3 linked regions of the Kluyveromyces lactis genome follow. The protein of the gene in region 3 interacts with the protein of the main gene of each other region in a biochemical or structural test. Links are inferred from orthologs where the notes say so. Each region holds a gene or a part of one and is shown on either strand. Other genes may lie near its edges. The genes, in order: SUI3, SUI2 and GCD6.

What was found.
Region 1: the proteins of GCD6 (region 3) and SUI3 form a complex in vitro, tested with the Saccharomyces cerevisiae proteins (4 studies listed by BioGRID). The link is inferred for Kluyveromyces lactis from reciprocal best matches to the Saccharomyces cerevisiae genes GCD6 and SUI3.
Region 2: the proteins of GCD6 (region 3) and SUI2 form a complex in vitro, tested with the Saccharomyces cerevisiae proteins (2 studies listed by BioGRID). The link is inferred for Kluyveromyces lactis from reciprocal best matches to the Saccharomyces cerevisiae genes GCD6 and SUI2.

The regions. Positions count from the first base shown.
Region 1 is NC_006040.1:750,880-753,385, reverse strand, and holds SUI3 (translation initiation factor eIF2 subunit beta), read right to left. Parts: upstream 1,444-2,506; coding exon 607-1,443; downstream 1-606. Other genes in the region: ADD37 (Add37p), read left to right, coding at 1-190; YAR1 (Yar1p), read right to left, coding at 1,938-2,506. UniProt on the Saccharomyces cerevisiae protein: Component of the eIF2 complex that functions in the early steps of protein synthesis by forming a ternary complex with GTP and initiator tRNA.
Region 2 is NC_006037.1:1,020,610-1,022,992, reverse strand, and holds SUI2 (translation initiation factor eIF2 subunit alpha), read right to left. Parts: upstream 1,468-2,383; coding exon 559-1,467; downstream 1-558. Other genes in the region: KLLA0_A11792g (uncharacterized protein), read right to left, coding at 1,898-2,383. UniProt on the Saccharomyces cerevisiae protein: eIF-2 functions in the early steps of protein synthesis by forming a ternary complex with GTP and initiator tRNA. This complex binds to a 40S ribosomal subunit, followed by mRNA binding to form a 43S pre-initiation complex.
Region 3 is NC_006037.1:383,236-387,003, forward strand, and holds GCD6 (translation initiation factor eIF2B catalytic subunit epsilon), read right to left. Parts: upstream 2,251-3,768; coding exon 40-2,250; downstream 1-39. UniProt on the Saccharomyces cerevisiae protein: Acts as a catalytic component of the translation initiation factor 2B (eIF2B) complex, which catalyzes the exchange of GDP for GTP on eukaryotic initiation factor 2 (eIF2) and is regulated by phosphorylated eIF2.

The sequences.
Region 1 (2,506 bases), on a different chromosome or scaffold from region 3:
TAAGGTGGATAAGGTTCTAGAAAATGTATTGGAAAACGAGGGCACAAGATATGCGTTGAGTGAAATATTCGCCAACTTGAACGATTCAAAACGGGTTACAGATTTAATTACAAAATGGATGCTGTCGGATATGTCGGTGAATTCGTGGTGTCCTTCTTTCCGTAAATTGATCGAAAATGCACAGATATGATATTTTAACTGGGGGAAGGGTTTCAGATTATAGAGCTTAAATTTAAATTGATCTTTTAGAGCATTGATCTCGTCGTTTTGTTTATAACAACTAAATTACAGATTAGATAAAAACCATTAGATAACATACACAAACAGAAAAAAAATTAATAATGAACGTGAAAGAAGGATGAAGATACCTTCTATTCTCATTTCTTTTCAAGTATTTGGTGTTATTCATATGTTATGTGTGAATTGCACGATGCGATGCTCCCTGGAGAAAATATTCAACCATGAATATATTAGCTATGCCTTATGAGGTTTATTTGATTCCTTTCGAACTGTATCGTATTGAACATTAGAAGATTGTCGAAGTTTTTTCTGATTTTTCGGTAGATGTTAATGATACTACTATTTTGATACGTCATATCAATTAATCTACATTCTCTTTCTCTTACCGACGGTGGCTTGGAAACCGGTCTTGATGGAGGAAACGGATCTAGTAGAACCGCAACTCTTACAAACCAAGAAGAACAATCTGTTCGATTGTTCCTTCTTCAATACGGTATTGATACTCTTACAAGTCTTACAGGTGACATATTCCAGAATATACCTTCTTAATAGATTTTCCATTTGCTTTGGCAAGAACTTACCCTTGATGACCAATCTCTTTTGACCGTCAACAGAACCTGAGGTACCCAATTCCGCAAATAGATACTGGATTACATGTTCTGGGGATCTTTGTAATTTTTCACTAATTTCTTGGATGTTCGCAAATATAGTCTTCTTACCATCTCTTTGACAGATTGGTGGAGGGATCTTGAACTTTGGACCTGATCTATCACCGGCCAATTCAGGATTATTTGTGTTCAAAATCTTAAAGAAACGAGACAATAGGTCTTGGTATGGTAGGCCAACATCTTGTTGAATGCTAGAATCGATTTCAGTTGGAGTGGCCTCCTTGGCAATATCATCGACTGAAATACCTGCTTGTTCTAATTGCTTCTCAAAGTCATCCACACTGCTCTCGGCAGCAGCAGCCTTCTTCTTCTTTTTCTTCAACTTCAATTCGCCTAGAGCATCTGAAATGTCGTCCACTTGCTTCTCAGTGGTTTCTTCACCTTCCTTGCTCTTCTTCTTCTTCTTCTTCAAACCAGCAAAAAGATCATCTGTTCCCTCGGTGGAAGCAGCAATCAGTTCTTCCGGAACTACCTTCTTGCTCTTCTTCTTCTTCATCGTTGGATCGAATCCTAAGTCGGCCGCAACATCAGTCATCGTTGAGTATCTTTGTATCTTCTCGCTTCTTGCTAATCTCCTTAGTAATAACGGAAAGGGCCTTGAACTTTACACGAACTAGACTCTTGCCAACAGATTTCCACAGAAGTTGTCTTACCCTTGTGCAAATATGAGCTGAAGAATCCAATAGGATATTGAATAGCGATGACAATTGCGATCCAGTCGTTTCAATTCTCTTGGTTTTCCGAAAACTCACTATTTTCAAAATTTTCCCAGGCCACGCGATAGTGTTGTCATTGTGCACGTTCAGTGTTCGGGTAACACACGTGACTTATCTATTCTTTGGCCTTTGAGTCTGGTTAGATAAAACTCCGCTTGTTGGGCGCATGAGGTAGGTGTACCTATGTTTATTGATGATTAGTATACAGTTATGTACATGGACATTTGGTTCATATTTTATGCTCAAATTGGCCACAATACAGCTTTCCAGCCGAATGATTTTTTTTTGACCACGGTTCATTTTCAGAGGAAACTTATTCTAGTTGAAGCTTTTCAGTTTGCTCTCTTAGAGCTTCTGTAGCTTCTTTGGTCACTTGTTCAATCTCTGTACCTTCTCTAAATTGGACGTTGTCGATAGATGCGGGCTGTGAGGCTTGTTCTCCTTCCTTTTCCGATGAAGTTTCTTCCTCATTTTCGGTCGATTCGGGTTCCACGTCGAACTTCTTCAAGTAATATGTTTCTATCTCTTCTTGTCCGTTGTTTTCAGCTTCGTAGATGGCATCATGGTCGAAATTATTCCTGATGAATGGATCAGCCTCATACTCTTCACAAAGAAGCTGTACTATATCCAATTTACCATTCAACGAAGCCCAGTGCAATGCAGTGTTACCTGTTTCGTTTTGCTTGTTGACCCATTCCTTTAGTTTATCCTTTGGGAAAATGCTTAGTAGATATTTTACCACCTCGAAATGACCGTTGGCGGCTGCCATATGCAAGGCAGATGACTTAGACAATTCATCTGTACATTCAATGAGTGCACTTGGATCTATCAAAGTGGTAAAAATATCCTTAAGAGACTCCAAATCTCCAGCTCTTGCATCAA
Region 2 (2,383 bases), about 640 kb from region 3:
TACCATACAGGATCCCAACTAGGCTGTGAATAAATGCAAATTACGTTGACGTTCGAATTAGTTTATTATACACGTTTAAATGAAATACCCGATGTGCTAATGTTACTACATAGAAGTTTCGTTTCGTTGTACTTTAAAGACTTTTCACTCTTTTTTCAAAATAAGGATTTATGGAGCTTCCCTTTATTATTATAAGAAGAAACTAGAAAAAAGGAAAATGGGAGTTTCCTAATGTAAAAATCCTTTAAAACGTCCAGTCGTAATCGAATGGAAAGGCTGACAGTAATTGGCAGATACCACCTGTTCAAATGCTAGAGTAGTTCTCTGCACAGTCAAGTGGAAACATAGGTTTATTACCTGAACATCTGTTAGAAAATGGCCTTTTGTTTTTGTTTCATCTTCATCAGTAAATATAATGCAATGTTAAGTGAAGTAAGAAATGGAGAGAGGACATGCAAAGACTTATAGGTATCGAAACGCTGTATACACGTATAACAACAGGAAGCAGTAGAAGTATATCTTTTTAATTCCTTTTTTTTTGGTTTCACTTTAAACCATCTATTCGTAATCGGAGTCTTCATCTTCGGAATCTGATCTACCTTCTAATTCCTTGGATTCTAATAGTGCTTGTAATTCAGCATCTTCAGTGGCGGTGACAGCCTTTGGAGCCATTGTGACATTACAGACACCATTGTACTTTAGAATGACTTCTTCGATCTTTGCGATAGCAGTTTCCAATAGTTGAACACCTTGATCTTTGTCCAAAGATTGGGTGGTGATGACGTACAATGGGGCAGCCACCAATTTGACTTTGATTTGCATTTGTTCAGTGGACAACTCTTCAGCAGATTTTAGGGCTTCTTTGATAGCATCAATACCCTCGTAACTGAAACATGAAACCTCGACATCTGCTCTGATCTTGACCGCTTGTGGGGTCAATCTTCTGGTGATTTGGCCCTTCAATTCTTGGAAAATTTCGTCGCTGATAGATTCAATACCATCCCAAACGTTAGGGTCCACAATGGACATCTTGTAGGCATCGTAAGCATGACCGTACTTTCGACTTAAAGGCCATGCATAAGCTTTGTACAAATCTTCCAATGATACTTGGTATTTCTCAGCACATTGTCTCAAGATGGAATGTACGGCCTTGGACTTTTGGTATCTTTCTTCACATTTGATGACATCTTCTGCAGAAACACGACGCTTAGACAAATCAATATAACCCTTCTCCTTATCCACTCTTAATACAACGACAACTTCATTCTTACCAACACGAATCAACTTTTGGATAGATCTAATACGTCTTCTTGACAATTCAGATAACAAAACCATACCTTCAATGTTGTCATATTCCAATAATCTAACGTAAGCACCCATTTCAGCGATTTGTTGGACGTTTACCATCACAACATCATCAACTTCAGGGAACTTGTTCTCGTAAAACCTACAATTGGAAGTGGACATCCTGCTCTGTATATCTAATGGCTCTGATGATAAATTCTTGTGTAATTTTTCAATTGGAAGATATACCACAAACTCAAAGAAAGTATACTCTGTTTGTAATCGTTATCTATCGCAAGATACAGATAAATTAAATTCCTCGGTATCAGAGACTGCTCGCGTAAGTTCGAAGCTTAATTGGAAACCTTTGTATACCGATATTGAAATTGCTTTGTTGCTTCAATATTGTATATGCTTTCCAATGATCAATCTTTTCAATTTTTTGATACTTCGCATCACAGTTTCGAAAAATTTTTAGATCTGCTCGTTAAGAGTGATGTACTACACGTGACCTAACTATTATAATTAAGTTTCATTACTTACTACTAATGGCCCTCAGGTATTAAGCTGCAGAGATACTAACTACCAGTAACCCATACTAGATGCGATCGTGCTAAGAAGCGCCAGAAGATTGATTTTTTAGCCTCGTTTTGATTGTTTTGATGTGTGCGAATCTGCGAGACCATGTAGAACAGTGTTCTGACGATACGGACTCGTGCCAAATTTGTGCGAATGTGTTTGCGACAGTACATAAATGCCTGACATACGCTGCGAGGCGCTGCCTATGCATGATTTTGAAGTGGGATGTAGAGAATATACCAGGAACTTCTTTTGCTCTGTAAATCTTCACCTTATAGAATTCACTCACAGAGTCTTTTTCATCTTTGCCGTTCCACATTGGTTTGATGACAAGGTTTATGAAATTGAATTGACTTTTGATTATGTCAAACGGGAACGAGTCCTGTTTTCGTTCATCGTAATATATGTTGATAAAGTTATTACCAACGTGTCTTTTTTTCATTGTTCGATCTGGATCTGCTTTGTCGTCGTTAGGCATTAGGGATACAGTATGGAACACGATTTGACATTTTTGATCATG
Region 3 (3,768 bases):
AACCATGAAAATTCAAAGGGCATTTATGACGTTATTGACTTATTCGTCTTCGTCACTGTCTTCTTCATCAGATGATTCTTCATCTGCAGTCTTTAGCCAGTCCACCCATTTGGCCAGTAGAGCAGTAACTTCGCTGTATTTTGAATCACCGCTTACAGAGTCCCACCATTTGTAAATGACATCTTCCTCTAAGATATCCAAATCATACAAGACATTATATACATGGAATAGAATGAAATCTGGTTTATCGAATTTCTGATCTAGCACACGATCCAGAATGATATTCATTAGATCAATGAACTCATCACTATCAAATGCTTGTCTCTTAAACACAGGACCCCATTGTTGTAAGACTTTAGTGACAGCGTCCTTTGGACCTAGTGTTTGTGTGGCTACAAAGTGGTAAACTCTTCTGAATATAGCGATAACAGAAGCATTCCTGACTTCATGATAAGTGACGTTCATACTCATTCTCAAAGTGTTTAGTTCAAGCATTGATGTGTCTAAATCGTGGTTGTTCTCTATAGCTCTTTCAACTGTTGCGATGGCTTCTTTTTCGAAATCTTCTTCTTCGTCTTCTTCTCCTTCGTAATCAGTATAGATACTAGTCATCGACATGGTTCTCCTCTTTCTATGTTTTTGAGTGATGGATGATATGGAAGTATCCGATAAATAAATGTCATCGTCTCTGTACGTTAATGTGTTCGCAATACCCTTTTCGGTCGATCCATCTTCATCTTCATCCTCATCATCACTTTCGTATAGTACGCCTCTCCCGTTTGGCCCAACCAACTGCTTAGATAGTTTAATCTTCGCATCGGCAACTTCATCGGAATTACTGATTGATAAAGAAGATGAATTTCTGGTGAATGTGCTTCCTTCTTCGTCCTCATCGCTGGAAGAAAGATTATGTGCTGTATCTAAGAATTGAGCTGTGTTCCTCTGTACTGGAACCGCTGAAATCTTGGTTCCAACTGGGATTGTAACATTATCGTCAATCACTACATTGAATCCGATAATGGAACCATCATTCAAGGTGACGTTTGATCCTAATTTAACATCTGAAGCAACTAAAGAGTGCTCAATTGTAGTGTTATCATCAATGACAACATTGTCCCAAATGTAACTGTTTTTGATTCTGATGTTTGAGCCAATTTTACAATTTCTACCAACAACACTATTTTCAATGACTGTACCTTCTCCAATCTTGGATCCTGAGCCGATGGCCGTGTTTTTCTTTATCTTACAGGACTGCGCTAATACCACGTCTTTTTCCTTATAAATGTGTTGGCTTTCGTATGAATAAGTTTGGCCCTTTAAAAGGTTGGCATTAAGAACCAATGGGTAACACCATCTAGCAATAAAATCTTGCGAGATAGCATCATACGTTTGCCAACTTTCTGCTCTAGTGGTGTATTCGTCGGTAATGTACCCGTAGATATGTTTCTTCAACAAATCACTAGAAAGCACACCTCTAACAAAATCTCTTCTCAAGAATTGGTAATCGAAATTCTCTTGGAAAATAGCAGGGACATGAGGAGAACAGATATCTACATGGCAATCAATCAAATCGTTGCGTAACACAAACTCGTCAACACCTTCCAGAAGTTCAGGATCAATATCAATGGTAGTTTTTTCTCTAGAGCTAGCCAATGGGATATCCTGGTAGTAAATACATCTATCATTAGACTTATCAAAAATGAACGTTGCTGGTTCATGAGACCTTGTCTTATGAAACTGAGTCGCTTTACTTAGGCACATAGTGACAATATGATCCTTATCAGCCTTTCTCCTTTGTTTATGAATATCTAAAGCCTTTTCAAAGTCCATATTAGTCACCAAATCACCACTAACAAGTACGAAATCACCGGTAATTAGCCCACGGTTATCGACATCTCTCATTGCATCTCCAACAGATCTGGACTCTAGCGACATGATGGTATTCACCTTAAACGGAGCCCATGGTAAACTCCATTTGGACTGATCGATATATTCCTGGATCTGTTCACCATGCGATGCACAAATCAGATAAACTTCGTTGACTCCGGCCTTAGCTAAGAACTCCAAAGTATATTCAATCAAGGGAATGTTGGCCAACGGCAACAAACATCTTGGTTTCACCGAAGTCAAAGGCATAAACCTAGTCTCAAACGAGTCAGTCAAAACAATCGCTTGTAAACGTTCATCTTGAACAACCTCTTGTTTCTTATTCTGATTGGCTTTACCAGATTTGGTCTTCTTTCCACTCATCTTTCGATTGTAAATTACGGGAAACTCTGGAAACAAAAAAAGCTTAAATGAGTACAAGTATACTATTAATAAACAGGGTACCTTTTTCCCCGTTCTAACCAAAAGACTAAGCGTTTCCAGAGCGATAAAGTTGGATGATTTTCTCTTCTCGATAAACTCATCATCATGTGTAATATGTAATTAATTGATTGTTCAATATTCAAATTTCATGTCATTTCTCACTTTCAATTTGAAAATAAGGAAGAACCAAGACAAGAAAAAAATTTCAGATACAACGCTCTGCGTGAATTTCTGTGTAAAAATCAGAATCATCATAGTAACCCATAAAAAAAAGATAGTTGAAATATGAGAAAAAAATAGATGCCCCTGGTGGGGTTTGAACCCACGACTATCGCGTTGCTTTGAAACGACCTTTTGAAGGGCCAATTTTCATAGAATGTTCCATATTGATTGGAGTCACACTATAAGCACGATGCTCTAAACCACTGAGCTACAGGGGCTTCAATGATGTCTTATTTGCTTTTGTTGATGTTTATATTCTGCGAACCAATAATTTTTTTTACCAAAAGAAGGCATACCTTGAACCATAATGAACACACAATTGGCCCTTCAATAAACCATTAATTGAATTAGCAGAGGTTCTTTGAACTTTTGTTTAGAATATCATTCCTATTTAGAGGTTTATTATAAAATTTACCTAGCAGCAAACATTACATAGAGTATCAATCAAACACCAACATAACAAACATTTACAGCATGTTCCTAGGCAGCTGGAACGTTCTCTCGGAGGAGGTTGCTGTACATACACAGGCTGTTGTTGGGCGTAGTAGCCTTGCTGTGGCTGGTTGTGATTTCTCATAGTATTAATTTTTTTAGTGATAGTTCTTCAGAATAGGGTCTTTCAGTTTCCTATTGGTATTAGAACAGTACGGCTAACACAACAGACCTATTGATTCACTTGAGTGGAGTTGGCAAAGAACTTATACAATTAAAACCCAACATGCTTCAAGTGACATTATATATCAAAAAAAAAATATCAACAATATACAGTCCGAGTAAATGATGGATCGAGTTCTTGCTTATATATATTTTGTATGTGGAGTCGACGTAATTGTTGTACCTTATTTTTAACTGCTTTAAGTGATATTTTTGTTATCACTGCCATTTCCATGAGGCTTCCGCTATTCGACATTTTTTTTTGATTTTTGGGTTTTTTTTTTGCTTTGCTTTTAAACAATAAGCATGAAAGCAGTGCGACAGATATTAAGTTTAGTACGAAACGTAAGTTTAATTATGTAAGTGCACACATTGATTAACACATTCTATCTTAATATGGATAAGTAGAGAAAAGAATTATAGTAACTAAATCAAATAGTGGAAGAATTTCTGGAAGTGTAGGGTCCGTATGGCGTACGTATAAGATTTGGTTTAGGTAAAGATTTGACAGCCCATGAAGTAAATTTGAAATACGTCATTTTTAATTGTATTAGAGAATAATTTGAGCAGCAGCTTGTCAGA